3 linked regions of the Stegostoma tigrinum genome follow. The protein of the gene in region 1 purifies or fractionates together with the protein of each later gene. This does not show direct contact. Links are inferred from orthologs where the notes say so. Each region holds a gene or a part of one and is shown on either strand. Other genes may lie near its edges. The genes, in order: etaa1a, atr and rpa2.

The links.
Region 2: the proteins of etaa1a (region 1) and atr purify together in Homo sapiens (affinity purification with western blotting; 3 studies listed by BioGRID, with this or other methods). This does not show direct contact. The link is inferred for Stegostoma tigrinum from reciprocal best matches to the Homo sapiens genes ETAA1 and ATR.
Region 3: the proteins of etaa1a (region 1) and rpa2 purify together in Homo sapiens (affinity purification with western blotting; 4 studies listed by BioGRID, with this or other methods). This does not show direct contact. The link is inferred for Stegostoma tigrinum from reciprocal best matches to the Homo sapiens genes ETAA1 and RPA2.

What each region holds. Positions count from the first base shown.
Region 1 is NC_081362.1:3,833,292-3,843,314, forward strand, and holds the start of etaa1a (ewing's tumor-associated antigen 1), read left to right. Parts: upstream 1-5,618; 5' UTR 5,619-5,669; coding exon 5,670-5,862; intron 5,863-10,023. UniProt on the Homo sapiens protein: Replication stress response protein that accumulates at DNA damage sites and promotes replication fork progression and integrity.
Region 2 is NC_081367.1:73,392,222-73,402,704, forward strand, and holds the start of atr (serine/threonine-protein kinase ATR), read left to right. Parts: upstream 1-6,471; 5' UTR 6,472-6,571; coding exon 6,572-6,630; intron 6,631-10,483. UniProt on the Homo sapiens protein: Serine/threonine protein kinase which activates checkpoint signaling upon genotoxic stresses such as ionizing radiation (IR), ultraviolet light (UV), or DNA replication stalling, thereby acting as a DNA damage sensor.
Region 3 is NC_081377.1:37,458,331-37,469,072, forward strand, and holds the start of rpa2 (replication protein A 32 kDa subunit), read left to right. Parts: upstream 1-6,668; 5' UTR 6,669-7,143; intron 7,144-10,742. UniProt on the Homo sapiens protein: As part of the heterotrimeric replication protein A complex (RPA/RP-A), binds and stabilizes single-stranded DNA intermediates that form during DNA replication or upon DNA stress.

The sequences.
Region 1 (10,023 bases):
AGCATTTTGATAGAATTACAGTTAAGCCAATTCTTTTCTTTTTATTTTGTCTGTATTTTGATAATAATGTGTGAGTAACGTGTGTTTTGTTTTAAGTCCGATGTTGAATTGAACTGCATTGGAAACATAACACCTTACGCTTGCCTTTAAAATATGAAAGAGTTTGGGTTTGAGGAAGGGTCACTGGACCCAAAATGTTAACTCTGATTTTTTTCTCCACAAATGCTGCTGGACCTGCTGAGCTTTTCCAGCAATTTCTGCTTTTGTTATTAATTTGAACAGTGCTGGGATCAGTGTTCTGTTGAATTTTATAACTAAGGTAGTAGAGAGGGCTTTAGCCAAATAATAGTGGAGAGGTTGGGTAAGGTGGGCAGGGAATTGTGAGAGAAGATGTTGTAAATCAAACGGAAAAAATGGGATATTGGAGCAGGGTAGTTATTTGGGTAAGGACAGTAAAGTAAGTATACCTTAGGACCCGAAGGCTGCTCTCTCATTGGCGAGAGAAAGAAATAACCAGTGGTGAGTTTAGCCTGATCATCACCATGCTTCGGGCGAGGGATGAAGTTAAGAAGGTTGGATCTTCGTGGTAACCTCAGTAGATGCAGGAATTGAGCCACATTGTTGGCATCACCCTGTGGCACAAACTAGCCATCCAGCCAACTGAACTCTGGGTGACGATAACCACAGCTGAATAGGCAATGCACTCTTTGAGTCCAGTACAGTGCTGAAGGAATAAAACTGCAGATGCTGGAAATCTAAAACCAAAACAGAGTGCTGGAAAAATTCAGTGAGTCTGGCACATCTGTGGAGCATGAAACAGAGTTAATATTTCGAGCCCAGTGCAAGTTGTGAAGAAGACGGACAGAAAAGATGCTGTACACTATTTCTGAAAAGTGTGAGTTGTTCCTGGTAACCTGGTTCATATTTATCCCTTAACCCCCAAAAACAAACAATCTAACCAGCATCACTTTGCTGTCTGGAGGGAGTTTGTGCACAAATTAATTGCTGTGCTTCCTACAAAGACAGCAGAGGCTACACTGCACACAATTTGAAACATCCTGAGCTGGTAAAAGGTGCTATAAAAATGCAGAGATTTAAAAATGCAGATGCTGGAGAATCTGAGATAACAAGATGTAGAGCTGGATGAACATACAGACCAAGCAGCATCAGAGGATCAGGAAAGCTGATGTTTCGGGTCTGGACCCTTCTTCAGAAAGCCAGCTTTCCTGCTCCTCTGATGCTTCTTTGCCTGATGCGTTCCTTCAGCTCCACACCGTGTTATCTCTATAAAAATGCAAAATTGTTTTACCAGCTGCATACATGCAGGTCATTTCGAACAAAAGCAAATAAGAAATACGCAGATTCATTATTTAGAAAAATAGTTAGGTTTATATCTGTTAAAGATTGGTTTGAAGACAATGCTTTCCTGCTACAGTGGTGATAAATATATCATCTGTGCAATAAATAGTATTGATTTTAGAGGTGAATTATATCCTGGAATGTTATTCCCTCGGGGTCTGAGAAATTTCAAACTATATCTAAGCGGGGAGAATATTGTACTTGCTTTATTCAGGAACCTAATTTGATAAATTAAGTAATCACATCCTGTTCCACCCAAGTTTGCTCTGCAAAATTGTTTAAATGTAGTGTAACATTTGGGTGGCATACTATTTAGACAGGGACTAGCTGCTGTTAAATGTTAAGATTTATTACAATGGCAACAAAGGAGATATAATGAATTTAAAATCCATGATACTGGATGCAGCTGGATTTTTTTAAGGTAACAACCAGTGGACTGTGCCAGAAAATAATTTGCAATCCTGCTTTAAATACACAAACACGGATTGAAACCAGAGCAATTCCAAATCTCTGGGAACTACATTTATTTAAGAGAATTTAATTTGTTGAAATTTGAGTTGTCAACGTTATCAAAAGGACTGGCTTGAGGCTTTCTCTTGCTGGGGGATATCATTTGGACTTAAAGGCAGAATGGACATTAACAGTGAGACTGTCCCAGATTGTGTGTGAAATTGAAATCCGAAGAAGATTTCTGCACTGCTTAAACCTTTGGCCAGGCTGACTGATGCTGCTTTGCACTTCTGGCAGTGTTATCCCAAAACAGCGTCCGTAGAAATATGGAACATACAGTCACTCAAAGATCTCCATGGCACCACTAAAGCAGCAGAGAGAAGAATGGACACACCTCCCCTTTCTTTTAATGGCATTAACTGCTGTTAGCTAAGGTTACACGTCTTTTCTTATTTACTCCCAAACTGTGGATGTTGCTGGCTGGGCCAGTATTTATTGCTTATCCCTAGGTGCCCATAAGAAGGTGGGGGTGAGTGGCCTTCTTGAACCGCTGCAGTCCATGTGCTGTAGATTGACCCTCATTGCCCTTAGGGAGGGAATTCCAGGGTTTCAATCCAGTGGCAGTAAAGGAATGGCGATAAATTTCAATCCAGGATAGTGAGTGGTTTGGAGGGGAGCTTGCAGGGGGTAGTGTTCCCATGTTTCTGCTGCCCTTATCCTTCTGGATGGAAGTGGTCGTGGGTTTGGAAGGTGCTATGTGAGGATCTTTGGTGAGTTTCTGCAGTGCATCTTATAGATGGTACACACTGCTGCTACTCAGCACTGGTGGTGGAGGGAGTGGATGCTTGTGGATGTGGTGCCAATCATCTGGGCTTTGTCCTGGATGGTGTCAAGCTTCTTGAGTGCTGTTGGGGCTGCACCCATCCAGGCAAGTGGGGAGTATTCCATCACACTCCTGACTTGTGCTTTGTAGATGGTGGGCAGGCTTTGGGGAGTCAGGAGGGGAGTTACTCATGGAGTCATTGAGTAATACAGCATGCAAACAGGCCCATTTGACCATAGCACCAACTCAGCTAGTTCCAACAGCCTGCATTCAGTCCACATCTCTTTATACCCTTCCCATCCAAGTACCTTTCCAAATGTTGTCAAATGTTGCTGTTGTACCTGCCTCAACCACTTTCTTTGGCAGACTATTCCAGATACGCACAATTCTCTGCATGAAGAAGCTGCCCCTCAGGTCCTTCTTAAATCTTTCCCCTCTCACCTTAAACCTATGCTCTCTAGTTTTCAATTCCCCATCCCTGGGAGGAAGGCTACATGCATTCAGCTTATCTACGCCCCTAATGATTTTATACACCCCAATAAGGTCACCCCTCATTCTCCTATGTTCCCAGGAATAAAGTGCTGTCCTGGGCCAACATCTCCCTTTAAATCAGGCCTACTAGCCCTGGCAACATCCTCGTAAATCTTCTTTGTACACTTTCCAGTTTAACTATGTCTTTCCTCTAACAGTGTGACCAAAACTGTACACAATACTCCAAGTGCAGCCTCACCAACAACTTATACAACTGCAACATAACATTCCAACTCCTATACTCAGTGCCTCGACTGATGAAGGCCAGCATGCTAAATGCTTCTTCAACTCCCTGTCTACCTGTGATGTTGCTTTCAACTATGTACTTGTACTCCTAGGTCCCTCTGTCCCACAACAGTCTCGAGGACCTTACCAGTTACTATTTAAGTCCTACCTCTATGAGGACCTCTAAGTCCTACCTGTGAGGTAAAACATCCCATACTTATCTGTATTGAATTATATTTGCTAATCCTCAGCGCACTTTGCCACCTAGTCATAGAATTCCTACAGTGCATGCAAAGGCCATTCAGCCCATCGAGACCACATTGCCCTCTGAAGAGTATCCCACCTGGATCCACCCCTTATCCAATCCCTGCATTTCCCACCTAAACATTACGGACAATTTAACACAGCCAATCCACCTAACCTGCACATCTTTGGACTGTGAGAGGAAACCCATGTGGAAAACGTGCAAACTCCACACCACAGTCGCCCGAGGCTGGAATTGAACCCAGGTCCCTGGGGCTGTGAGACAGCAGTGCTAACCGCTGAGCCACCGTGCCGTCCTGATCAAGGCCCCTCTATAATTTTTGATAACCCTCCTCACTATCAACAAAACCTATCACTGCAAGATTCCTAGCCTGTGATTCGCTCTTGTATGTGGATAAATCAGTGAAGTTTCTGGTCAGTAGGAACCCCTCGGATGTCGATAGTGACGGATTCAGTGATGGTAATACTATTGAATGTCAAGAAGTGGTGGTTAGTTTGTCTCTTATTAGACATATCGTCACCTGGCGTTTGCGTGGTGCGAAGGTCCACTGTGAATGTTAGTGATTGTATGAATGAGTAAGATAGACATGATGGCAAGTGAATGTGGGTAGGTAAGTTAGGGGTAATCAGATCAGGGGCTACTCAGGTCTGCTCTGGGCATTCGCACTGTTGGGAGGGCAAGTCCAGGCCTTGGGGGGAGTTATAGGGAGAGGCAGTTTGAGTGATTGGTGGAGTTACCCAATGCACCTCCATACACCCTAGGCCCTTTAGATATCTCCTGAGCACAATTGCCACTGACAATCCATGTCACACACCACTGCTTGCAACAACCCCGCACATCATGTCCCCAGCACAACACCAGCCCACCCACCCCACTCCTCCCTCACTCCAACACACCCCATACCCTGAACACCAAGTACACACCGTTACTGTTGTCACAGCATGTGTTCCCCCAACTTACCATCAACACTATCCACAGCCCCTCACCATCTCAATATCACTCCACAGATGAGGGCATTGCAATGTCCTGATGGTGCTGAAAGATGCTATACAAATGGTGATAAAAGATGTTCTGTGCATGCAACAAGAGGTGATGAAAGCTGATGCATAAATGACAAAATGAGTAATGACCAATGACAAAAGATGTTATACCTCTGTAACAAATGGTGATAAAAGATGCTGCATGAAAACAAGTGCTGATAGAAGATGCCATATGAATATAACAACTGTGATCAAAGATGCCATATAAATGCTTGAACTAGTGATTAAAGAGGCTATATGAATGCAATGTGTGGCGATAGAAGATGCTATATAAGTCTAACAAGTGGTAATGAATGAGGCTATATGAATGCACTTGGTGATAGAAGATGGTAGATAAATGCAACAAGTGGTGATTAAGCAGAGATAATGGGAACTGCAGATGCTGGAGAATTCCAAGATAATAAAATGTGAGGCTGGATGAACACAGCAGGCCAAGCAGCATCTCAGGAGCACAAAAGCTGACGTTTCGGGCCTAGACCCTTCATCAGAGAGGGTCTAGGCCCGAAACGTCAGCTTTTGTGCTCCTGAGATGCTGCTTGGCCTGCTGTGTTCATCCAGCCTCACATTTTATTATCTTGGTGATGAAGCAGGTTGTGTGAATGCAATGGGTGGCTACAGATGATGCTATATAAATGCTAGATTTTTTCGCACTTAAACCGAAATTGCTGGAAAAACTCGGCAGGTCTAGCAGCATCTGTAGAGAAAGGAAGCAGAGCGCACATTTCGGGTTCACAGACCATCCTGCAGAACGTGGCCCTCGCCTCCTGTCGCAAGGTCCCTTCCAACTTTGATGGACGGTTACTAGGGGGCGGGGACAGGCCCTAGCAACGGCGCAACCAATAGAAAGCGAGTATGACGTCGTCCTGAGCCAATGGATGAAGGGGTGCGGCCCTTAAAGGGGTGGGGCGGTGTCGACGGGTTTTTATTTTCATCCCAAGGCAGCGGCGAGATGGCGGCGGCCGAGGCCGAGTGAAGGATGAAGAAGAAGGGGGAGGAGGACGAGGCGACGAGCAGCGGCAGCACCAACGCCAGGCCGAGGCGGACACGGCTGCATCCCAGCCCGGGGCCTTCTGGCGAGCGAGGAGCCGGCCCTGGCTTGACCCCCCCGGCGCGGACCGGCAGGCTGAGCCGAGGCTCTAGGTCCGCCGCTAGGCCCCGGGCGCCTGAAGGTGAACACTGGCCCCGGCGTCCCTTACTGTCTCATCCCCCCTGGCCACTCACTCACTCACTCACTAACTAACTACCTACCTCCCTCCCTCCTCATTGCAGAGAAACTCAGGGCCATCCCCCCCCAAAAAAACTGCCTGCTACAGCCACAAAATAAACCCCAGAAACTGAGAACAGAAGAACTGTATTGGCAATAATAAAAACTAAGCACCAAAACTGGAACTTTCCAAAAACAAAATTGGGAACATTAAGATGATGGGGGGGGGGGAAAGTTGAGCGTAAGTCTAGGTCTAAAAAGAATGCTGGGAGCACAGATGTTGTCAAAACAAAACTACAACAACCAAATTCAATAAGGGGTGAAAAAGATTTGGAAGCAACAAATACTGCAAACATGCAAAATCGATTAGCAATAGTAATGAGAATTAAAAACAAACTATATTGGCCGGAAAACAAAACAGCATCCAAAGCTGGGAGTAACCAAAAAAAAAGGATCTAGGAACTGGGATTATGAATTTGAGTGAAAGTGTAAAGATAAAACTTGGTTAGCAAAGAAAGTGCTGAGCATTGGGAATAGAGAATAACAAAATAGGAGCAAAAAGCAGTAATGTAAGAAACATTGTCATCAGTAAACCTCTGGGTTCAAAACTGAAGATCCCTTGGAGCAAAGACAGGCTAGATTAAAAAAAGGCATTAAAACCCATTTAAACAGCCGAAAACAAAAATAAGATGAGCAAAACAAAACTGGTAGTAAAAAGAATAGGTGAAAATGGATTAGGGGGAGATTAACGAGCTTGGAGGGGGAAAAAAAAGAGAATCAACTGCAAAGGAAACTGGCAAAATTTAAATTAAAAATGTCAGTCAAAAACCAAGGAGCAAAAGAGAACTCAGGAAGTCAAAAGCTCAAAGTCAAAATACTGCTTTGGCAGCAAGAATATAAGTAGAAAAACCCAGGGTAGCAATAATTGTATGGGCACGATGTACATGTATATCTATTTGGACATATCATTATTTAAGATAACGTTTCTTCCGTCCACGAGTGGGACTAATTGAAAACTGCTGCGCAGACAGTTTTGCACCAAGGCCCATTCACCCATTGCCCTTGTACTGTCTGGCCTGCATTGTTCTTTTGGTTTAAAACATCTCCTCGATTTCCAATCTGTCCATGATCCGGATCTTTTCTCTGTCTTACCTCTACTAGACCCACAACTCCCTGAGACATCTATACTCTCCAGCGTATTTTTCCAGTGCTGGCCTCTTCAGCTTCCTCAATTTTAATTGCTCCACCATTAACTGTCATGCCTGGATCCTATGCCAAGGAATTCCCCACCCCCGCAAAGAAACCAGTTATCTCTACTCTTGTAATTCTTGTTTTAAAACCCACCTGTTTGCCTTGGTCACTGTTTTTATGATGATGTCAGAATTTGTATGACAGTGCTTCTCTGAAGTAGCCTGAGGAATGTTAGCACGTTGGAGTACAATATATAAATGCTGCTTACACGGCACCAAAGCCAAAGTAGGGCATTGAAGGGAAGAGAGGTGGCTGTTGGGCAAACTATCATTATTGGACAAAAGTAAGGGAAAATGCAAAGAATAAGAGAGAGGTCCAAGTCTAGATTGAAATCAGGAAACATTACTTCCTGATAAGGGTGGTAGAAGGGTGCGAAACACTCTCCCACAAAAAAAGTAGATGCTGCTTGAATTAATAACTCCTAAATTTTGACATTGCTAGATTTCTGCTAGCCAGGAGTGTTAATGAGATTAGCGGGAGCTAAGACATGATCTCATTGATCACTGCCTGATCAGTCTTGAGGACTGAATGGCCTTTCCGTTCCCATTTGTTACACAATGCACTGTCAAAAGGAAGGATTTTTAGTTTTAAAACTGCGGGAAATGTGGCAAGGCGATTTGGTGTGACATGGACAGAGGCATTGTAACCATTGAGTAGGGGTGCAGTGGGAATTGAAGAGTAATTCCATACAGTGGAAAGGTGAATGTGAACCCCTAAGACCGGAAGTAATCTTCTATAAGAGAGGATGAGCTCATGGAAAGATTTCTAAGCAACTTGTCAGGGTTGACAGTGTGGATTGCAGGATGTTGTGAGGGTAAGGACAGAAGTATGTTATGTTTGAAGTGAAGCTTATGATTGCGATAGAGAAGGCTGGTGAGCAGAGCAACAGAAGTAAAACCTTGGAGATAGTAGGAACTGCCAGTGCTGGAGTCTGAGATAACAAGGTGTGGAGCTGGAGGCATACAGCAGGCCAGGCAGCATCAGGGGAGCAGGAAAGCTGGCGTTTCGGATCTGGACCCTTCTTCAGATATGAAGAAACCTTAGACTGATGAAGGCATGTCATGGACTCAGCTGTGGGTGCCACACACACATGATAGTGATGTTGTTGAGGCAAGTGATGATGCAAAAGTGAGGAAGATTTGCTATATTCATGCTTTGATGATGTGTTGAAGATGTTGAATATGACTTCTTAAATTCATTTGCAAAATAATCACTTAACAGTTTGCAAGATCCTTTGTCACGGTAGTAACTCAATCATCTTGGCATCTGACAAGGGAGAAGCTGTAAGTGATGTATATACATAAGCAGACAATCACAGTAAAAAAAGAAAGGTTCTATCTACTCTGAATACCAGTTTAGGCATATTCATTAAGATTTTATCTAGGCTTTCATTGTACAAACACATGCTGTATGAAATTTGAGACTCATCTGCAGTTAATCCTGTATCTGAATTACCTTCATCAGGGGAGGGAAGAAAAGCATGGCAGTGAATACTGTATAGGCGTACTTTCAGGGTAGTAGTGGTGTTTTTCTCTCGGGGCCAGAAGATTTGGGTTCAAGCCCCGACTGCTCCAGATGACTATAATAACATACCTGAGCAGTTTGATTGAAATACCTATAAACATACTTTTCACTCTTTGACCTATAACCGTTTGCTACACATGTCCAATGTCCCCCCTAAAATCAGTAGATCTCCCTTTTGACTTGGAGTCAGGAACTTCTGAATTCAAGATCCATTCCTAAGGTATAAAATCATGAGGTGTATAGATAAGGTTAATGGTAGATGTCTTTTCCCTAGAATGGGGGATTTCGGACTAGGGAGCATGTTTTTATGGTGAGGAGAGAGATTTTGAAAAGACATGAGAGGGAGTTTTTTTTCACGTGTGGAATGAACTTTCTGACAAAGTGTTGAATATGGACACAATTACATTGTTTAAAAGATATTTGGATTAGAACATAAATATGAAAATTTTCCATTCAAACAACCCTTCAAATGAATCCAATGTATAAAATGCCATTGCATTTTAAAGGCTCCTACCCTGAAAATGTTCTGATGCAAAAATGTGTTCCCTTGTTTAAGATGCTGTCAGGAAAGGCTGAATAAACTGAGGCTTTTTTCCTTGGAGCATTAGAGGCTGAGGGGTGATCTTGTAGAGGTTTATAAAATCGTGATTGGCAATGGATGAGGTGAATAGCCAAGGTTTTTTTCCCTGGGGTAGGGGAGTCCAAAACTATAGGGTGTAGGTTTAGGGTGACACAGGAAAGATTTAAAAGGGAACTGAGCAAAAACTTTTTCATGCAGAGCGCAGTGCGTGTATGGAGCAAGCTGCCAGAGGCTGGTACAATTACGACATTTAAAAGGCATCTGGATGGATACATGAATAGTAATGGTTTAGAGGGATATGGAAATTATTAGATAGGGCTAGATCAGTTTAGGATATCTAGTTGGCGCAGATGAATTGGACTGAAGGGTCCTTTTCTGTGCTGAATAACACTGACTATTTTTTTGCTTTTAGTGTTTGTGCAGAATGGTGGTAGAGGTTAGCAATTGGTTTTAATTTTGTGCACAGTTTTTCGAAATCTACAATGAAATGCTAAAGAGCCATATGTCGTTCAGATGGGATTAGCTTTCAATTTCAGGATTTGTAAATTGTGTCGTTCAATCTCGTTTTCAAAGGCAACACAATCCGATGGCACATATATCTCTTTCGCATTTTATTCCCCCATTGAAGTTTAATGCTACTTTCAGGAATGACTCTTTCCTGTGATGCAATTGAATCTGAAATAGCTGATGTTGAACCAGAGACTATAATCCATTCCTAACAATTGGAAGTTATTTTCTCACTTTGGTAATTCAAGTGATGAAGATATTTAG
Region 2 (10,483 bases), on another chromosome or scaffold:
GACTTCTGATTCTGCAAGTTGCTGCAATGCAAGGGCCTCAGAAGGGAACACTGGTCAGGAATAGGTTACTTGCTGCAAGGCTCCTCATGGTGGCTCAGTGGTTAGCACTGCAGCCTCACAGTGCCAGGGACCTGGGTTTGATTTCAGCCTTGGGTGGCTGTCTGTGTGGAGTTTGTACGTTCTCCCCGCAGGCAGTGAAGAAAGCTAATAGCAACTGCAGGCAGTGAAGAAAGCTAATAGCATGCTGGCCTTCATACAAGAGGAATTGAGTATAGGAGCAAAGAGGTCCTTCTGCAGCTGTACAGGGCCCTGGTGAGACTGCACCTGGAATATTGTGTGCAGTTTTGGTCTCCAAATTTGAGGAAGGACATTCTTGCTATTGAGGGAGTGCAGCGTAGGTTCACGAGGTCAATTCCTCGAATGGCAGGACTATCACATGTTGAAAGATTGGAGCAACTGGGCTTGTATACGCTTGAGTTTAGAAGGATGAGAGGGGATCTGATTGAGACATATAAGATTAAGGGATTGGACACTCTGAAGGCAGGAAGCATGTTTCCGCTGATGGGTGAGTCCAGAACCAGAGGACACAGTTTAAAAATAAGGGGTAGGCCATTTAGAACAGAGTTGAGGAAAAACTTCTTCACCCAGAGTAGTGGACATATGGAATGCTCTGCCCCAGAAGGCAGTGGAGGCCAAGTCTCTGGATAGTTTCAAGAAAGAGATGGATAGAGCTCTTAACGATAGTGGAATCACGGGTTATGGGCATAAGGCAGGAACCGGATAGAGATTGTGGATGATCAGCCATTATCATAATGAATGGTGGTGCTGGCTCGAAGGGCCGAATGGCCTACTCCAGCACCTATTGTCTATTGTCTGTTATCTGCGTGAGTTTCCTCCAGGTACTCCGGTTTCCTCCCACAGTCCAAAGATGTGCAGACTAGGTGGATCAACTATGCTAAATTGCCCGTAGTGTTCAGGGCTGTGTGGGTTACAGGGGGATGGGTCTGGGTGGGATGCTTCAAGGGGTGGTGTGGACTTGTTGGGCCAAAGGGCCTGTTTCCACGCTGTAGGTAGTCTAATCTCTGACCTGCTGTTATGGCCACTTATATGACAAATCCAATTCATTTTCTGGCCATGCTAGTGATCCAAAATAAAAACAGAAAGCGGTGCAAAAACACATCAGCTGGCTAACTAGTTATCGCTGCTGCATCACAGCACCAGGGATCCAGGTTCAATTCCACCCTCAGGTGCCTGTCTGCATGGAGTTTGCACATTCTCCCCATGTCTGCATGGGTTTCCTCTGAATCCTGTTTCCTCCCACAGCTCAAAGATGTGCAGGTTAGGGTGGATTGACCATGCTAAATTGTCCATAGTGTCCAGGGATTTGCAGATTGAGTGGGTTAGCCATGGGAATACAGGGATATAGTTGTAGGTGCTGGTGTGTTTGCTGAGCTGGGAGGTGTGATAGCAAATGCTTCGTCCCCTTACTAGGTGACATCCTCAGTGCTGTGGAGACTCCTGTGAGGCCCTGTTGTCTTGTGCCATTTGGGATTTACATGGTCTGGTTTTTGCTGCTTCCAGTAGGTGCTGGTTCCGGCTGTGCGTGTAATGGTCAGTGTACCAAGTCTAATTCAATGTGTTTGTTGATGGAGTCTGCAGACGAATGCCTAGCCTCCACGACTTCCCTGGCTGTCCTCTGTTTGACTTGTCCAATGTGAGAAGTGTTGTCCCAGTTGAAAGTGTGGTTTCTCTAATCTGTATGCATTGAAACCAAGGATATCTGGTCATGTTGTTTAGTTGCTAGCTGGTGTTTGTGGATGTGCGTCGCTAGTTGTCTGCCTGTTTGTCCCATGTAGTGTTTTGTGCAGTCTCCGCATGGCATCTTGTAAACCACATCCGTTATGTCCATGGTATCTATTGGGTCTTTCACTCTGGTCAATTGCTATCTTAGTGTGGCTGCCGGTTTGTGTGCTGTCATGGTTCCTAGTGGTCTGAGTAGTCTGGCTGTCTGTTCTGAGGTGTTTTTTTATACATGGTATGGTATTGTGGTTATTGTTTTGGGTTTTGTGTCCCCTGATTGTGTGTTGGCTAGGCATCTGTGGATGAAGCTGTGGAGGTATCCATTCCTGGTGAAGACCTTGTAGAGGTGTTCTTCTTCTTCCTTCTGCAGATTGGGTGTGCTGCAGTGCGTAGCAGCCCTTTTCAACAGGGTCCTAATGCAGCTCCTCTTGTGTGAGTGGGGGTGGTTGCCGTGATAGTGAAAGACTTTGTCAGTATGTGTAGATTTCCTGTACACTTTTGTAGTAATATCACCATTCTGTTTTCTTTCCACCACCGCATCCAGAACCAGAATCAGCAAAAGCCGGACCATATAAACTTGAACTGGCACAAGACAACAGCGCCTCACGGGAGACTCCACAGCACTTAGGATGTCACCTAGTAAGGGGGACGAAACGTCTGCTATCAAACCTTCCAGCTTGGTGAACACGCCAACATCTACAACCAGCACCCCAGCTACAAATCTTCACTCAAACCCTAAATACCTATAGGCATGAAACGCTAAACCAAACAAGGAAGTAGGAATCCTGTGTGAACCGAACAAGCACCACATATCAACAACTCACATTCCTACACGAGTGCCACAACAAACAACTACAACATCCGTACTTAAGGTACAGACAACCAGTAAATAATCCAAGATAACAAAGTGTGGAGCTGGATGAACACAGCAGGCCAAGCAGCATCTCAGGAGCACAAAAGGTGACGTTTCGGGCCTAGACCCTTCAAGCCCACCGACTCCCACAGCTACCTAGAATACACCTCCTCCCACCCAACCCCCTGCAAAAATTCCATCCCCTATTCCCAATTCCTTTTCCTCCGCCGCATCTGCTCCCAGGATGAGGCATTCCACTCCCAAGAAAAGCTCTCTGATGAAGGGTCTAGGCCCGAAACGTCAGCTTTTGTGCTCCTGAGATGCTGCTTGGCCTGCTGTGTTCATCCAGCCTCACACTTTGTTATCCTGGATTCTCCAGCATCTGCAGTTCCCATGATCTCAGTAAATAACCCACATGCCAGAGAAACAGCCAGACAGAATGGCTGCAGGATGATACAAGTCATGATCATAGATGCCTGTTACTGACCCCACAAGTACAAACAAGAAATCATGCGCCAAGAGTCGATAATTTCAAAAGCGACCAATCAGGCATGGACTACGAGAATCAAATGGGCCATCACAATAACACAGAACTGAACCCCACACACAGAAACGAAAACAGCACTACAGAAAAAAATGACTAAATTGACCAATGACAGAGGACACACATGACTGACAAATGGATAAGGTACCTCTCCAACAGACTGCTCACAGATACAGAAAAAAAACTAGTACTAATCAAAAGACTGAACTGCAACTGCTGAAAAAAAGACTTCCTGGCAGCACTAGAGTCCACACTCAAAAACAACGGACTAAACAAAGAAACACAACAATGATCAGACAGAGATAATGGGAACTGCAGATGCTGGAGAATGCCTCTCCACCTATCTTCTTTTCTCTCCATCTTCGGTCCGCCTCCCCCTCTCTCCCTATTTATTCCAGAACCCTCACCCCATCCCCCTCTCTGATGAAGGGTCTAGGCCCGAAACGTCAGCTTTTGTGCTCCTGAGATGCTGCTTGGCCTGCTGTGTTCATCCAGCCTCACATTTTATTATCAATGATCAGGCAGAACCTACCGACAAGGGGAACACAAATGAACATACTTAACAAAGAGGAAAGGGGTGCCCTGAAGAACCTCAAAAAAGGACAAAAACATCATCGTTCCCGATGATAAAGGCAGAATGACTATGGCAATGAACAAAACTGACTACATACAAAAAGTTGTAGAACTACTTACAGATACACAAAACTACCAACAGAGGGAGTGGGACCCCACAACTAACAAACGGAATAGCCAATACACTACAGAACAAACACAAAACGGGACAGATAACAAATATAGAATTACAAGGAATGAAACCTGAAGGCAACAACAATCCAAGATTCTACGGACTGGCCAACTTCCACAAGCCTGACATAGCCCTCAGACCAATTGTGGCTTTACCAGGAACCCCATCACACAAATTAGCCAAGGAACTACAATAAAAGCTTAAACATCTAATCAGTAGTTCAAGACACTTCGTACAACCAACACAAGAATTCCTGGACAACATCAAGAACACTAAAATAGACAAAGAAGTGATGATCTCGCTTGATATAACAGCAGTGTTTATATCAATTGACAAAAACCTGGCCAAAGAAGCCATATCCAACCCACTAAACAAACACAGGAGATGGCAAAACAAGGAACAGATCAACAAACACTGTGTACTCAAACTACTGGACTTATCCTTAGCAACACACTTTACTTTCGAAGGCAAGAGATATGAGCAGATCAACAGGATTCCCATGGGCTCATCCATCTCTGGACTGATACCGGAGGTAGTCACGGAAAGACTGGAACAACCATCCACCCACAGATCCAACCCAAGCTTTGCATCAGACACACGGATGACACTTGTAACTATGAAAAGATCAGAAATTGAAAACACCCACTGACTCAACAACACCATACTCAGACGGATCAAATTTACTAGAGAAGAGGAAAACAACAACTGGTGGGCCTGTGGAATTCATTGCCACGGAGCATAGTGGAGGCCAGGACGTTAGATGCCTTCAAGGCAGAGATCGATAAGTTCTTGATCTCACAAGGAATCAAGGGCTACAGGGAGAGTTCAGGGAAGTGGAGTTGAAATGCCCATCAGCCATGATTAAATGGCAGAGTGGACTTGATGGGCCGAATGGCCTTACTTTCACTCCTATGTCTTATGGTCTTAACAACAAACTCCCATTCCTGGATGTGATGGTGCAAAGAAAAGTGAACGGTGACTTCACTACAAAAGTGCACAGGAAATTCACAGAGACTGACCAGGTCTTAAACTATTATGGCAACGACACAACTCACACAAACATTAACTCTGATTTCTTTTCTTCACAGATGCTACCTGACCTGCTGAGCTTTTCCAGCAATTTCTGTTTTTTGTCACACAACAGGAGCTGCATGAGGACCTGGTCCAAAAGGGCCACAACACACTGCAGCACACCCAATCTGCAGAAGGAAGAAGAATACCTCTATAAAGTCTTTAACAGGAATGGATACCTCCGCAGCTTCCTCCACAGATCCCTAGCCAATTGGCAACAAAACCCAAAACAATAACCACTATACCATAAATAAAGAACACCTTAGAATTGATAGCCAGACTACTCAGACTGCTAGGAATCATGCCAGCACACAAACTGGCAGCCACATTAAGATAGCAACTGACCAGAGTGAAAGACTGCCATGTGGAGCGCCTGCATAAAACACTACATGGGACAAACAGGCTAGTAATCTGCATCCACAAACAACAGCTAGCAAATAAATAACTCGACCAGATGTCCCTGGTTTTCAATACACACAGACGAGAAAAACCACACTCTCAACTGGGACAATACCACTGTCATAGGTCAACCAGAGGCCAGCCAGCGAATTCTTGGAGGCTAGGCATTCGTTTGTGGATGCCATCAGCAAAGACATTGAATTAGACCCGGTGTGCCGACCATTACAACGCACAACCGGCACCGGTAGCTACTGGAAGCAGCAATTCGAAATGGCTCAAGACAACAGCACCTCACGCGAGGCTCCATCGCACTGAGGACGTCACCCAGTAAGTGGGCCAAACGTCTGCTATCAAACCTCCCAGCTCGGGCGAACACACCAACATCTACAACCAAGGCCCCAGCCACAGATCTTCAGTCAAACCCTGAACAGGGAGCTGGTACAGAGAGGTGGGTCTAAGGCCCACAATGGACTCAATGGGCCGAGTAGCCTGCTTCCGCATCCGTCGAATTTTGACCATAACCGATCCTCCCGCTCCCGACCGCATTCAAACTTAGCGCATGCGCCGGGGAACACGCAGGTGCGACAGCCCCAAGGCTTGAACCAATCAGATTGCTCCCACCGTGGAGCCAATCCGGGGACGTTAGGCCAAACCAATCAGAGGGCTCCAAGCGACCTGGTTTTGGCGGGGGGGAAAGAGTTGTCACCGACGGGTTGTCGGGACATGGGCGGGGTCGCAGGTGACCGAAACCGCGCCCTTATTTCTGAGTGGACCGTGGCGGCTCCAAGGTGGGGCTGCACTTCCTTCGCCCACCTCGCCCAACGGGGACAGTGGTTTCCCCACCCCCTGGCCCGCGTAGGTGGGCTCTTGGTGCGCCCTGCCCCGTGCCGTGCAACGGGCGTGGTCAGTGAACGCCACGCCCTGTGCTCCGATTGGGCGAGGTCAGCGAACGCCCCGCCTCACGCACGGATAGGGCGCGGTCAGCGATCGCAACGTCCTGCGCATCGATTGGGCGAAGCCTGTGATCGGCTTGCCCCCCCCCCCCTCCCAGTGGGCGGGGCCAGGCCGGTGGCGCGGTTTTGGGACCGCGCTGGGCGAACGTGAATAATTTTAAGGCGAAACCGTCCACTGCCTTCGGGAGGCGGGAGTATTTGTCAGGATGTGTGAACAGGGCCTGGAGATGGCCTCCATCTTGCCGGCTCTGCGGGAGCTGGAGAGGTGAGCTGCTTTCGTGCCTTCGCTCCCCTGTCGTGGAGCAGAGACTAGGCCCCGGCCTCAGGACCTTCCAGAACCGTCTCCTCTGTCCTGGGGACCTCCACTGACAGCTTCCGGATGAACTCTTCAAATCTCTCTCATTCACATGCATAATATTCGATTGATTTATTGTCGAATGTGAAGTGTCTTTTATTTGAAATGCTCTTACACAGTTTAAAATCTCATAAGAAATAGGAAGGCCATTGGGTCCATCGACCCTACCCTAGTTAATACTTTTGTCCATGCTTTAGATTTTACTGCCTGCTACTGGTGAAAAAATATATATTTGATTGATGGTACAGGGATATTGACCCTTGGTCATTTCAATGCAGCATGTTATTTTGTTTCTAAGTCAGATATCACATGACATAGATTATAGTCTGACAGGTTTATTTGAAGCATAAGCTTTTGGAATGTTACACCTTCATCAGATGAAATGAAGGGAAGCACAGCACACAATTTTTAGGCAGTGAGCCCTTATTTCTAATACGAATCAAACATAAATCTGAGAGACAAAATGATGCTGAGCATCAACCTGTTCTGAGATGTTATGATATATCTCTGGCACAGGTGGGACTCGAACCCAAGCCTGCTGGGCCACTGCACTGCAAGAGCCCTTCAAATGTGCTTTATAATTTCACTTGTTTAGATCATGTCTGGCACGACATCATAGCTGGGGCTTCATCACCTAAGTGTCACTTGCGTGTGGGATCATGGCTTGTTGCAGATTGTGTGTGCAAAATCTAGCCTGAGAAGCTCCAATACTGTTGGAAGTATCTTTTAGATGAGAAGTTGAACTGAAACCTTAGGTTTTTTTAAATTGTATGCCAAAATATCCAGTGGGACTCTGTTGAAGGAGACCTTAGGAATTCTCTCTGATGTGTAGTCAGTACATATCCATTGAATAACATCTCCAAAACAAATGATTTAGTGAATTTTTTAACAAGTTCATTCGTGGAATAGAGGCACCACTAGCTAGGCTAACATTTATTGCCGACCTCTAATTGCCAAGATGGGAGTCAACCACGTTACTGTGGATCTGGATTTAGCTTCCTTCCCTAAAGGGCACGGATGAACCAGATGGGTTTTGCACAAATTGACAATGAATTCATGGTCGTTGTAAAATTCTTAATTCCTGATTTTTATAGCTTTCCAGTTCCACCATCTGCCATGGCAGACTTTGAACCTGAATCCCCAGAATGCTACCTAGGTCACTCAGCGATAATACCACTAGGCCATCGCCTCCCCCGAATATCATGCTACAGTGTATGATTTTGTTGCATGAGAATTGGCTGTGGTGTTGACAGCTTTTGAACACGTACTTAATTGGTGGTAAAGTAATGTACTGTTCCAAGGTTGTGGTAAGCAAGTCTTACAGCGTCCAAGAAGTAGGAAGAATGTTGATGTCAGACAAAAAAGACAGAAAAGTTGGAGAAAAATAGGATCTGATAAGGGATCAGAGGCACAAAGCAGTTTGAGGAGCAGTGGAATAGGTGAAATTCACAATGATGTAATTGAGGATTTCAACGACACATTGTTGTGTTAGCTTCCTTCTTAGAGGTGGGAAGATAAGTTGAAAGCCTTGATCAGGATGAAATAAGATGTTTGGGTTAACAACAGGCTGATTTAGCTTCAAGTAGTGGCGAAAGTTGTGATGGTGAAATGAAGATAGCTGAAGTGGTTAGAGAAAATGGTTTTGATGTTCCCAACATTTCGATGGCAGAAATTGCAGTTAATCTCATATTCAATATTTTGTATAGATGCTCTTTCTGTTTCCTGTGTAGTCCTGGCATGCTGCAGTGAGTGGTGGCCCATTTTTAAATAGTGCCCTAACACAGCTTTGTTTGTGGACTTTGGTGTTCTTGCTGTGGACGCTGTGGTTTCTGTATACCAAATCTTTGCTATGAATGGATATCCCTGCAATTTCATCCACAGGTGCCTACTAAATACACAACAAGAGGACACTATGCTCTATCACACTGGCCGCACTGCCCTACATCAAGAAAATAGCAGAACTGACAACAAGACTCCTATGACCACTAGGAATCACAGAAGCACACAAGTCCATAGCCTCACGATGACAAACACTCACAAGGATTGACCCCATACTCACGACATGCAGAACCAGCCTAATTGACAAAATACCACGCAATGACTGCCATAAACATTCCATCAGACAGACTGGAAGGAAGCTAGCCATCAGAATACATGAACATCAGCTAGCATGAAAACGACACAATGAACTTTCCTCAATATCGGGTACACTCGGACAATGAAGGCCATCAATTTAATTGGGACAATGTAACTATAATAGCCCAAGCCAAACATAGATGCGCATGGGAATTCCTAGAGGCATAGTTCTCAACCCAGAATGAAATCAACAAACATGTGGAATTGGACTCTGTGTACAAATCCATAGAGAACAAAACTGGAAATGACACAACTCACGGTAACGGACAGACAGTATAAATTCTGAGCAGAGTAGAACAACATCGCTTCATTAGAGGACTCACTGACGATGCTACCTAACATGGTGACTAAATGTCTGAAAGGAAACAAGCTGCCTCAGCGAGCAAGTCAACAACTTCATCCACAATCTGTGCTACAAATCTTTGCAAAAACCTCAACCAAACATGAAATACTGTGGACTCAGATTTTATTAGGAGAAAGAAATGAAAATAAACTTGAATAAACATTGTTGCACAGTGGTCATGTCCTTACACCTGGACCTGGAGGCTCAGTTCAAATCCCATCTCCTCCAAAGATGTTTAGTAACATCTCTGACAGGTTGATTAGAAAAATAGGTTAGATTAAAAAAAAACTACTTAAACATATAACCAACTTATAGACTTCGAAACACATTTTTGGTTAAAAATATCCATTAATCCCAAAAGAAACCCTCCTTTGTGGGACAATAGAGAATCCTCTTCTATATCACACCAAAAGGTTTAATTTAATTAGTTGTAGATCATTGACCCTGTTTTCAGAATCTGAATGTTCTCTTTGGAGACTTATGGAGACCATTTCAGGAATTTAACTTTACAGTCTGGAACTTTAGTTGAAAAGTCCTTACACTGAGGTTGTCTCTTTTTTAACTGTCCTAAACCACCTCCCTTTCTTTTACATATTCATAATGAACTTTCCCTAATATCAGTATACTCGGATAATGAAGGCCACCGGTTTAACTGGGTCAGTGAAACTACAGTTCTGACGAAGGGTCACTGGACCACAGATGCTGCCAGATTTGCTGAGCTTTTGCAGCAACTTTGTTTTTGTTCCTTATCAACAGCATCCACAGTTCTTTTGGTTTTTACAACGTAACTATAGTAGCCCAAGCCAAACATAGACACTTTACATATTCAGCTTTAGCTAAGACTTTGCCAAACTGCCCAATAAAATCCAGAAACTTTGTTTCACTAACTTGTCGGTATTTCCCCTGAGGCCCCCAAAGAAGTGAACAGATATAATGTACAATGGCCACAGAACAGTGAAGTCATTTATGACTTGGTTTAGATTCATTTTGATGTAACCTAATGGTAATCTGAAAGTAAAGTTTCTGATCTCAAAGCCTAATAAACTACACTGTTCTTTTTTGGTTTCTTGTAAATTTTTCAAATGAAAACAACCTTATTATTTGTCCAGGAAGTCTGTGTCTCAAACTGTGTTTTAAAATTAGTCACTTTGGTTACAGAAATACAGCTAAGTTAATGGTTAAATCCCCTCAGAGAAACACTGAAAACTCATGCCAGTAGTTCAAAATTAAAAAATCCAAAATGAATGATGCACATGCTGGTACTTGAGAGCATTTGCATGAGCA
Region 3 (10,742 bases), on another chromosome or scaffold:
GGAGGGCCTTGAGGCCATCTGCATGAGGAATGCAGGTGTATAGGAACTGGAAGTCCATGGTGAAAATGAGGTGTTGGGGGCCAGGAAATTGGAAGTTGTGGAGGGCGTGGGTAGTGTCACGGACGTAGATGGTGTCATGGACGTAGGCCCAACTCGTCCTCGCCCTGAACAGCTTCTCTTTCGATGCCTGTCCATCTGATCAACTATTGAATCAAATAACGACTGTTACCTGATAAACAGTAACATGTCACCACTGATAAAATCAAAAGGGCTGAGTAAAATAAACCTTAATTTGTGTTTGGAACTTTGGATCTTTATTTACCTTGTTTATATTCTTTTTTCCACCCATTGTATCTGTGTTAAACCATTTATCTTTTATCTGTCTTAACTGTGTGTGTGTGTGTGTGTGTGTGTGTGTGTGTGTGTGTGTGTGTGTGTGTGTGTGTGTGTGTGTATTTACACATGCATGCATGCATGTGGTTTTCAAGTTTTGGAAGGGGTATAGTTTAAATTGCATAGTAGTTGTCTACTAGTCTTTTTTTCCTGCTGCTCTTGTCAAAGTTAGCACTTTTTAACAAATTGTTATTTTGCTGTTACTTACAAAACCTGGTGTGAATTGCTTCCGTCCTGAGTAGCAATCAGTCAGGCAAATTGGTCATTTTGGTGGTCCAAAATGAGCCCAAACTGAGCTTTATCAAGTTTATAGATCAGTTGTGTAAAGTGTTTTGAAGAAAAAGAAATCACTCAATTTAAGGGTTTGCAGTGCAAAAGATCATTTGGCCCAATTTATCTGACAGTGTTTATTGTCCATATGAATCTCTTCCCATTACTCTTCCAAACGTTTTCTTTTCAATCCTGGCCATCTGCATGAGGAATGCAGGTGTATAGGAACTGGAAGTCCATGGTGAAAATGAGGTGTCAGTCACACACTCTCTACTTTTTCCTTAAATGCATCTGTGCTATTTGCCTCAACTTTGATGCCATCTTTCAAACCCATGACTTCAGCCATCTAGAAGGACAAAGGCAGCAGATGATGGAAACATCATCACCTGTACATTTCCCTCCAAGTTACACACTATTCTGACTTGCAACTATATCACCGCTCTTTTGCTGTTACAGAGTCGAAATCGTGGAACTCCCCAACGAACTAGAGCACTGCGGTTGTGTCTGCACGGCATGCATGCAATATTTAAGAAAGTTGCTCTCCACCCCATTCTCTCCTGGCAGTTAGGGGTGAACAATAAATTTTGGCCTTGCCAAATAGTCGCTGTTCCAACACTGACCCACGCTGAAATTCACTAGTCACCTGCTGCCATCCTGAAAAATACCCTATTATCCTTGCTCTTGGTCTTTTGCCAATCAGCCAATCTTCTACTCATGCCAGAATCTTGCCCCTTACACCATGGGCTCGTATCTTAATTAGCAGCCTCCTGTGGCACCTTGTCAAAGGCCTTCTGGAAATCGAAATAGATCACATCCGCTGACTTCGCTTTGTGTAATTTGCATGTTCCCTCTTCAAAGAATTCTAACAGAAATGTCAGGCAGAACCCCCTCTTAATGAAATTATACTGACTCATCTCTATGTTCCTATGCACTTCCGAGTACCTTATTCTTAATAATGGGCTCTAAATCTTACTGATGATTGGAGTCAGATTCAAAAACAAAGTTGCTGGAAAAACTCAGCAGGTCTGGCAGCATCTGTGAAGGAAAAATCAAAATTAATATTTTGGGTCCGGTGATCCTTCCTCAAAACCCTGCTGAGCTTTTCCAGCAGCTTTGTTTTTGTTCCTGATTTACAGCATCCACAGTACTTTCAGTTTTATTTGAAGTCAGACTAATTGGTCTACAATTTCCCATCTTTGGCTTCCTTCCCTTCTTAAACAGACGTGTTACATTAGCCATTTTCCAGTCCACTGGGACCTTCACTGACTTCAGTGATTCCTGAAAGACCACCACAATTTCCTTAGACCTGTCCTTCAGTACCCTGGGGTGTGGACCATCTGGGCAAGGTGTATTATCCACCTTTCAACTTCTTCTGCACCTTCTCCCAATTGATGGCCATTACACTCAACTTGTGATAGAATATTAGTGAATGCAGGGAATCAGAGAAGCTTCAAACTGAAGGAGTTGATTTAACTCAGGAAAGGGAAGCTAGTGTGCCGTACTGAATTTTCCTTACTCTCTCTCTGTATTTATATTGGGAAATTAAATACCAAACTGGAGAGGTCATGCTTTAGTTTCTTTTATTCATTCATGGGATGTGGGCGTCACTGGCTAGGCCAGTAATTTGTTGCCCATCCCTAACTGCCCAGGGGACAGCTAAGTGTCAGCCAACATTGCTGTGGGTCTGGAGTCACATGTAGCCTAGAATAAGAAAAGGATGACAATTTCCATCCCCAAAGGACATTCGGAACCAAACGGGTTTTTCCTGACAATCAACAATGGTTTCGTGGTCCTCGTTCACCTCTTAATTCCACATTTTTACTTGAATTCAAATTCCTCCATCTACTATGTCAGGATTCAAACTGAGGCCCCCAGGACTTTACCAAGATCTCTGGCCTAATAGTCTAGTGATGATACTACTAGGCCATTGCCTACCCTTTTAATACAGGGTATTGGGGAGATTTGTGCTTCTGAGGCTTTATAAAGCTCAAGTTAGGCCCCATTTAGAATACTGTGTCCAATTTTGGGCCCCACACCTCAGGAAGGACATAATGACACTGGAGCATGTCCAGCGGAGATTCACACAGATGATCCCTGGAATGGTAGGTTTAACATACGATGAATGGCTGAGGATCCTGGGATTGTATTCATTACAGTTTAGAAGGTTGAGGGGAGATCTAATAGAAACTTACAAGATAATGTATGGCTTAGAGAGGGTGGATGCTGGCAAGTTGTTTCCATTAGGTGGGGAGACTAGGACCAGTGGGCACAGCCTTATAACTAGAGGGGGTAAATTTAAAATGGAAATGAGGAGACATTTCTTCAGCCAGAGAGTGGTGGGCCTGTGGAATTCATTGCCACGGACCACAGTGGAGGCCAGGACATTAAATATCTTCAAGGCAGAGATTGATAAATTCTTGATCTCACAAGGAATCAAGGGCTACAGGGAGAGTGCGGGTAAGTGGAGTTGAAATGCCCATCAGCCACGATTAAATGGCGGAGTGGACTCGATGGGCCGAATGGCCTTATGGACTGCATGTGTAGTACTGCGTTCAGTATTGATCTCGTTGATTAAGGAAGGATGTAAATTTGTTGCAAATAATTCAGAGAAGATTTAACAGCTGGAATGAGTGAATTTTCTTATGAAGAAAGGTTAGCACGTTCTGATTGTATGTACTGGAGTTTCGAAGACAAAACAAAGACTTGACTGAAACAAAGGCTTGATAGGGTGAGTATGGAAACGATGTTTCCTCTAGTGGGACAATCTAGACTTTGGGGTCACTGCTCAAAAATAAGGCCTGCCTGTTTAAAGCAGAAAAGAAATACTTTCTTAGCGGAGTCTTTGTAATGATCTTTTTAATGGCAGAGCAGCTTCCTCCTGTTCCTAATTCATGTGTGGCATATATATTTGCATGTTAATACATGTTAAGCATGGTGGTGTTCTACAACTGTACAATTCACAGTGTTAAACATCATCTGGGCAGTTGAACCAACTAAGTATGCTCATGATAGTTCACAGGGAGTAAACTAAAATCTGTGATCATACCTTTTTCCTGTTGCATATCATCTCTGAATGGGATGTTATGACAATAGACCAAGAACGACAAATCTGTTTTTCTTATGGCTAACTGTTGGATGAAGCCATGTGTGTAATTTCAATAGTGCCTTCGCTTCTGCGGTCCGAAAGCCGTGGTTTCCAATACCACACCAGATATTTAGTATACAATTTCAAGTGATGGTCTAGTGCAGTACTAGAAGAATGGCACACTTTCACAAGTGTTAACTTTCAGGTGGGATATTAAACTGAGGCTAGACTGCTCTGCTCTGTTAAGCTAATGTTAGAAGAGCTCATGCCACTGTTTTGAAATGAAACTATGCAATTCTTCCTGTGTGACTTGGACAAGAGATCCTCATCAACCATTACTGGTTATCTGGTTGTTTGTGCTACCTTACTCTGTGTAAGACAGCTGCTACATTTCCTACAACAGTGACTACAGTTCAAAAAATACTTAATTGTCTGGAATGCACTTTGGGACATCTGGAAGCCTGAGGAAAGTGCAAATCTTTCCTTAGTTATAATTCCACCAAACAGATACTTTAAAAAAACGATTAGATCAGAAACATTCAGATATACAATAATGGATTTTCATAATGTCCAAAAGGAGATAGAAAGCAAGTTCTCATGAACAGCAAGGTCACATCTCACTCCCTTACCACTAGAATCTTGTGACCAAGTCCACAGACTGAATCATGAACTCACAACATTGATTTGGGGATCAGAGGTAGGTAACTTACATTGTCATGAAATCGAAGAGTCATGCAGCATGGAAACAGGACCTTTGGTCCAACTCATCCACAATGACCAGACATCCCAGTCTGACCTAGCCCTATTTGCCAGCATTTGGTTCATATTCCTTTAAATCCTTCCTACAATTTACTCATCCAAGTGCCTTTTTAATGTTGTAACTGTATCCAACTCCTCCACTTCCTCCAGCAGCTCATTCCATACACACACCATTCTCTGTGTGGAAAAAGTTACCCCTAAGATCCTTTTTAAATCTTTCCCTTCTCACCTCAAACCTCTACTTTTGGACTCCCCACCCTAGGAAATATATTTTGGCTATTCACCCTGTCCATGTCTCTCATGATTTTATAAACCTCCATAAGGTTACCCCTCAGTCTCCGACACTACGGCTAAAAAAAAACCCAGCCTATTCAGCCACTCCCTATCAGTCAAACCTTTCAGTCCTGACAACATCCTTGTAAATCTTTTCTGTGACCTCTAAAGTTTAACAACATCCTTGCTTTAGAAGAACAACCAAAATTGTATGCAATATTCGAAAAGTGGCCTCACCAATGTCCTACATAGCTGCAACATGACATTCCAACTCCTAAACTCAATGTTATGACCAATTAAGGCAAGCATGCCAAACATTTTCTTCACCACCCTGTCTACCTGTGACTCCACTTTCAAGGATCGATGTACAAGTTGTTGGAGGTGATGCTGAGAGACCGGATTTACATGCATTTGGAGAGCAGGAACTAATTAGGGATAGTCAGCATGGCTTTGTGTGTTGGAAATCATATTTCACAAAATTGATTTGAGTTTTTCAGGACATATTCAAAAAGATTAACGAGGGCGGAGAGGTAGATGTTGTCTACGTGGACTTTAACAAAGCCTTTGATAAGGTTCCGCATGGTAGACTGATTAGCAAAGTTAGCTCACATGGGATTCAAGGACACCTTTTTCGGTTGGATACAAAATTGATTTGACAGGGCACAGAGGGTGGTGGTGGAGGGTTGTTTTTCAGACTGGAGGCTCCTCTGACCAGTGGTGTTCTGCAGGGATGAACACTGGGTCCACTGTTATTCGTCATTTACATAAAAGATTCAAAGGAGAATTTAGGATGCAGGGTTCTTAAGTTTGCAGATGACACCAAAATTGGTTGTATAGTCAACAGCGAAGGTTATCTAAGAATACAAAGAGATCTTGATCAATTAGGCCAATGGGCTGCGGAGTAGCAGACGGAGTTTAATTTGGATAAATGCAAGGCAAAGCGAACAAGGGCAGGACTTATACAGTTAATGGTAGGGCCCTGAGTAGTATTGTTGAACAGAGACCTAGGGGTCCAAGTACATAATTCTTTGAAAGCTGTGTCACAGGTAGACAGGGTGGTTAAGAAGGCATTTAGCATGCTTGCCTTCATTGCTCAGACCACTGAATTTATGGGTTGGGACGTAATGTTGAGGCTGTACAGGATGTTGGTGAGGCCTCTTTTGGAGTACCATGTCCAGTTCTGGTCACCCTGCTGTAGGAAGGATATTATTAAATTAGAGAAGGTTCAGAAAAGATTTACCAGAATGTTACGAGAACTGGAAAGTTTGAGTTATAGGAAGAAGGTGGATAGGCTGGGACTATTCACTGCAATGTAGGAGGTTAAGGGGTGACTGTAGCGGTTTATAAAATCATGACAGGCATAGATAAGATTAACAGCAAAGGTCTTTTCCCTCAGGTTGGAGAGGTGGGGGAACGGGAACTGGGATGGTGTCCAAAACCAGTGGGTATATTTTTAAGGTGACAGGAGAACGATTTAAAAGGGATCTAAGAAGCAATATTTTCACACAGAGGGTCATTCATATGAACTGCCAGCAGAAGTGGTAGATGCAGGTAAAATTACAACATTTAAAAGTCATTTGAACAGGTGCATGAATAGGAATGGTTTAGAGGGATGTGGGCCAAAAATCGGCAAATGGGACTAGTTTTTGTTTGGGAGTCTTGGTTGGCATGGACAAGTTGGACCGAAGGATGTGTTCCTGTGCTTTATGGCTCTGAGGGTGCTATGCACATAATTTCAGCTGGAGTATGGAATCATATTGTGATATGAAGGCTATGAATAAGAAACAACATTGTTGTTTTGATCACACTGATGTTATTTCTGAACTAGTCAGATTCCAGACTGAAACATGGATTGATAAATCATTTTTGCTTTTTGAGTGCGAGCAGCAGCGGAGGCAAGACGGACCCGGAAGACTGCAGCTAAGGTAAAGCAGTTTATTTTTAAAATTACTTACCGGTAGCGGGCAGCGGTGTTTTTTTTGCTCTTTCAGAGAAGGAGCGGGAGCATCAGAGGAAGTGACGAGGACCAGAGGGGCAGCCGGGAAGGAAAGCAGTGAGTATAAATACTCACCCTTCGACGCCAACGGCCTTTTTGAGTGCGAGCAGCAGCGGAGGCAAGACGGACCCGGAAGACTGCAGCTAAGGTAAAGCAGTTTATTTTTAAAATTACTTACCGGTAGCGGGCAGCGGTGTTTTTTTTGCTCTTTCAGAGAAGGAGCGGGAGCATCAGAGGAAGTGACGAGGACCAGAGGGGCAGCCGGGAAGGAAAGCAGTGACCATATATCTCAGCAAGGCGGCTTAACCTGAGACTCTACAACTGTAGTGTCTCCCACCCGCCCTCCTCCTCTAACCTAGTTAATAAGGTAAGGTTCATTCTAAACTTTCTCTATTGAACATAAGTTTGTTATTAATTTGTTATTATTACTTGAAGTGAGCTTTCTGCTTTAGTACTGAGTGGGTGTTCAGATAAGTGGGGTATGGATGCTAGGGCAGTTGCTTGCTCCTCCTGCAGAATGTGGCAGTTGGGAGATGTGGCACACGTCTCCGCTGGCTACATCTGTGGGAAGTGCACCCAGCTACAGCTCCTTGAAAACCGTGTTAGGGAAATGGAGCTGGAGCTGGATGAACTACGGATCATTCGGGAGGCAGAGGGGGTAATTGAGAGGAGTTATCGGGAGTTGGTCACTCCTAAGGCTCAGGACGAGGATAGATGGGTTACAGTTAGGGGGAGGAAAGGGGACAGACAGACAGTGCAGAGATCCCCTGTGGGCATTCCCCTCAGCAATAAGTATACCGTTTTGGATACTGCTGGGGGGGTTGACCTACCAGAGGAAAGCCATAGTAGTCAGTTCTCTGGCACTGAGTCTGACACTGTGGCAAAGAAGGGAAGGGGGCAGAATAGAAAAGTACTCGTGGTAGGGGACTCGATAGTTAGGGGAATCGACAGGAGATTTTGTGGGCAAGATCGGGATTCCCGGAAGGTATGTTGCCTCCCTGGTGCCAGGGTCCGGGACGTCTCCGATCGGGTGTATAAAGTTCTGAAAGGGGAGGGTGAACAGCCAGAAATCGTGTTACATATTGGCACAAATGATATAGCCAGAAATAGGTTTGAGGATATAAAAAGTGATTTCAGGGAGTTAGGATGGAAGCTGCAGAGCAGGACGAACAGAGTAGTGTTCTCTGGTTTACTACCGGTGCCACGAGATAGCGAGGTGAGGAACAGGGAGCGGGCGCAGCTGAACACGTGGCTACGCAGCTGGTGTAGGAGGGAGGGTTTCAGATATGTTGATAATTGGGATGCCTTCTGGGGAAGGTGGGACCTGTACAAGAAGGACGGGTTGCATCTGAACTGGAAGGGGACCAATGTCCTGGGTGGAAGGTTTGCTCGAGTAGTTCGAGAGGGTTTAAACTAGTATGGCAGGGGGGGTGGGAACCTGAGCTGTATACCAGAGGTGAGCGTTGATGCAGGTGAGGCAGTAGCAAGAGGTAGACCAGCTAGTGGGAAGGATTTTCCTGGGAAGGAACCAAGGGATCGGTTAAAGTGTGTTTGCTTTAATGCAAGGAGTATCAGGAATAAAAGTGATGAACTTAGAGCATGGATCAGTACCTGGTGCTATGATGTTGTGGCCATAACAGAGACATGGGTTTCTCATGGGCTGGAATGGTTGCTGGATATTCCAGGGTTTAGAACATTTAAAAAGAATAGGGAGGGGGGAAAAAGAGGAGGGGGTGTAGCACTACTAATCAGAGAGGGTATCACAGCTACAGAAGCTTCCATTGTCGAGGAAGATCTGCCTACTGAGTCAGTATGGGTGGAAATTAGGAACAGCAAGGGAGTAGTCACCTCGTTAGGGGTTTACTACAGGCCCCCCAATAGCAGCAGGGAGATTGTAGAAAGCATAGGTTGACAGATTTTGGAAAAGTGTGGACGCAGTAGGGTTGTTGTAATGGGTGACTTTAACTTTCCTAATATTGATTGGAACCTCCTTCGAGCAGAAGATTTGAATGGAGCTGTTTTTGTAAGGTGTGTTCAGGAGGGTTTCCTAACGCAGTACGTTGACAGGCCGACGAGGGGAGAGGCCATTCTAGACTTGGTGCTCGGAAACGAGCCGGGGCAGGTATCAGATCTTGTGGTGGGAGAGCATTTTGGTGATAGTGACCATAACACTCTCTCATTCTACATAGCTATGGAGAAGGAGAGGATTAGGCAGAATGGGAGGATATTTAATTGGGGAAGAGGAAACTATGATGCGATTAGACACGAGTTAGGAAGCATGGACTGGGAGCAGTTGTTCCATGGTAAGGGAACTATAGACATGTGGAGATGGTTTAAGGAACAGTTGTTGGGAGTGATGAGTAAATATGTCCCTCTGAGACAGGCAAGACGGGGTAAGATAAAGGAACCTTGGATGACGAGAGCGGTGGAGCTTCTAGTGAAAAGGAAGAAGGTAGCTTACATAAGGTGGAGGAAGCTAGGGTCAAGTTCAGCTAGAGAGGATTACATGCAGGCAAGGAAGGAGCTCAAAAATGGTCTGAGGAGAGCCAGGAGGGGGCACGAGAAAGGCTTGGCAGAAGGAATCCGGGAAAACACAAAGGCATTTTACACTTACGTGAGGAATAAGAGAATGGTCAAAGAAAGAGTAGGGCCGATCAGGGATAGCATAGGGAACTTGTGTGTGGAGCCTGAGGAGGTAGGGGAAGCCCTAAATGAGTTTTTTGCTTCTGTCTTTACGAAAGAAACGACCTGTGTAGTGAATGAAACCTTTGAAGAGCAGGTGTGCATGCTGGAATGGATAGAGATAGAGGAAGCTGATGTACTGAAAATTTTGTCAAACATTAAGATTGACAAGTCGCCAGGCCCGGATCAGATTTGTCCTCGGCTGCTTTGGGAAGCGAGAAATGCAATTGCTTCGCCACTTGCGAAGATCTTTGCATCCTCGCTCTCCACTGGAGTCGTACCTGAGGACTGGAGAGAGGCAAATGTAATTCCTCTCTTCAAGAAAGGAAATAGGGAAATCCCCGGCAATTATAGACCGGTAAGTCTCACGTCTGTCGTCTGCAAGGTGTTAGAAAGGATTCTGAGGGATAAGATTTATGACCATCTGGAAGAGCATGGCTTGATCAAATACAGTCAACACGGCTTTGTGAGGGGTAGGTCATGCCTTACAAACCTTATCGAGTTTTTTGAGGATGTGACTAGTAAGGTTGATGAGGGTCAAGCTGTGGATGTGGTGTATATGGACTTCAGTAAGGCATTTGACAAGGTTCCCCATGGAAGGCTCATTCAGAAGGCCAGGAGGAATGGGATACAGGGGAACTTAGCTGTCTGGATACAGAATTGGCTGGCCAACAGAAGACAGCGAGTGGTAGTAGAAGGAAAATATTCTGCCTGGAAGTCAGTGGTGAGTGGGGTTCCACAGGGCTCTGTCCTTGGGCCTCTACTGTTTGTAATTTTTATTAATGACTTGGACGAGGGAATTGAAGGATGGGTCAGCAAGTTTGCAGACGACACAAAGGTCGGAGGTGTCGTTGACAGTGTAGAGGGCTGTTGTAGGCTGCAGCGGGACATTGACAGGATGCAGAGATGGGCTGAGAGGTGGCAGATGGAGTTCAACCTGGATAAATGCGAGGTGATGCATTTTGGAAGGTCGAATTTGAAAACTGAGTACAGGATTAAGGATAGGATTCTTGGCAGCGTGGAGGAACAGAGGGATCTTGGTGTGCAGATACATAGATCCCTTAAAATGGCCACCCAAGTGGACAGGGTTGTTAAGAAAGCATATGGTGTTTTGGCTTTCATTAACAGGGGGATTGAGTTTAAGAGTCGTGAGATCTTGTTGCAGCTCTATAAAACTTTGGTTAGACCGCACTTGGAATACTGCGTCCAGTTCTGGGCGCCCTATTATAGGAAAGATGTGGATGCTTTGGAGAGGGTTCAGAGGAGGTTTACCAGGATGCTGCC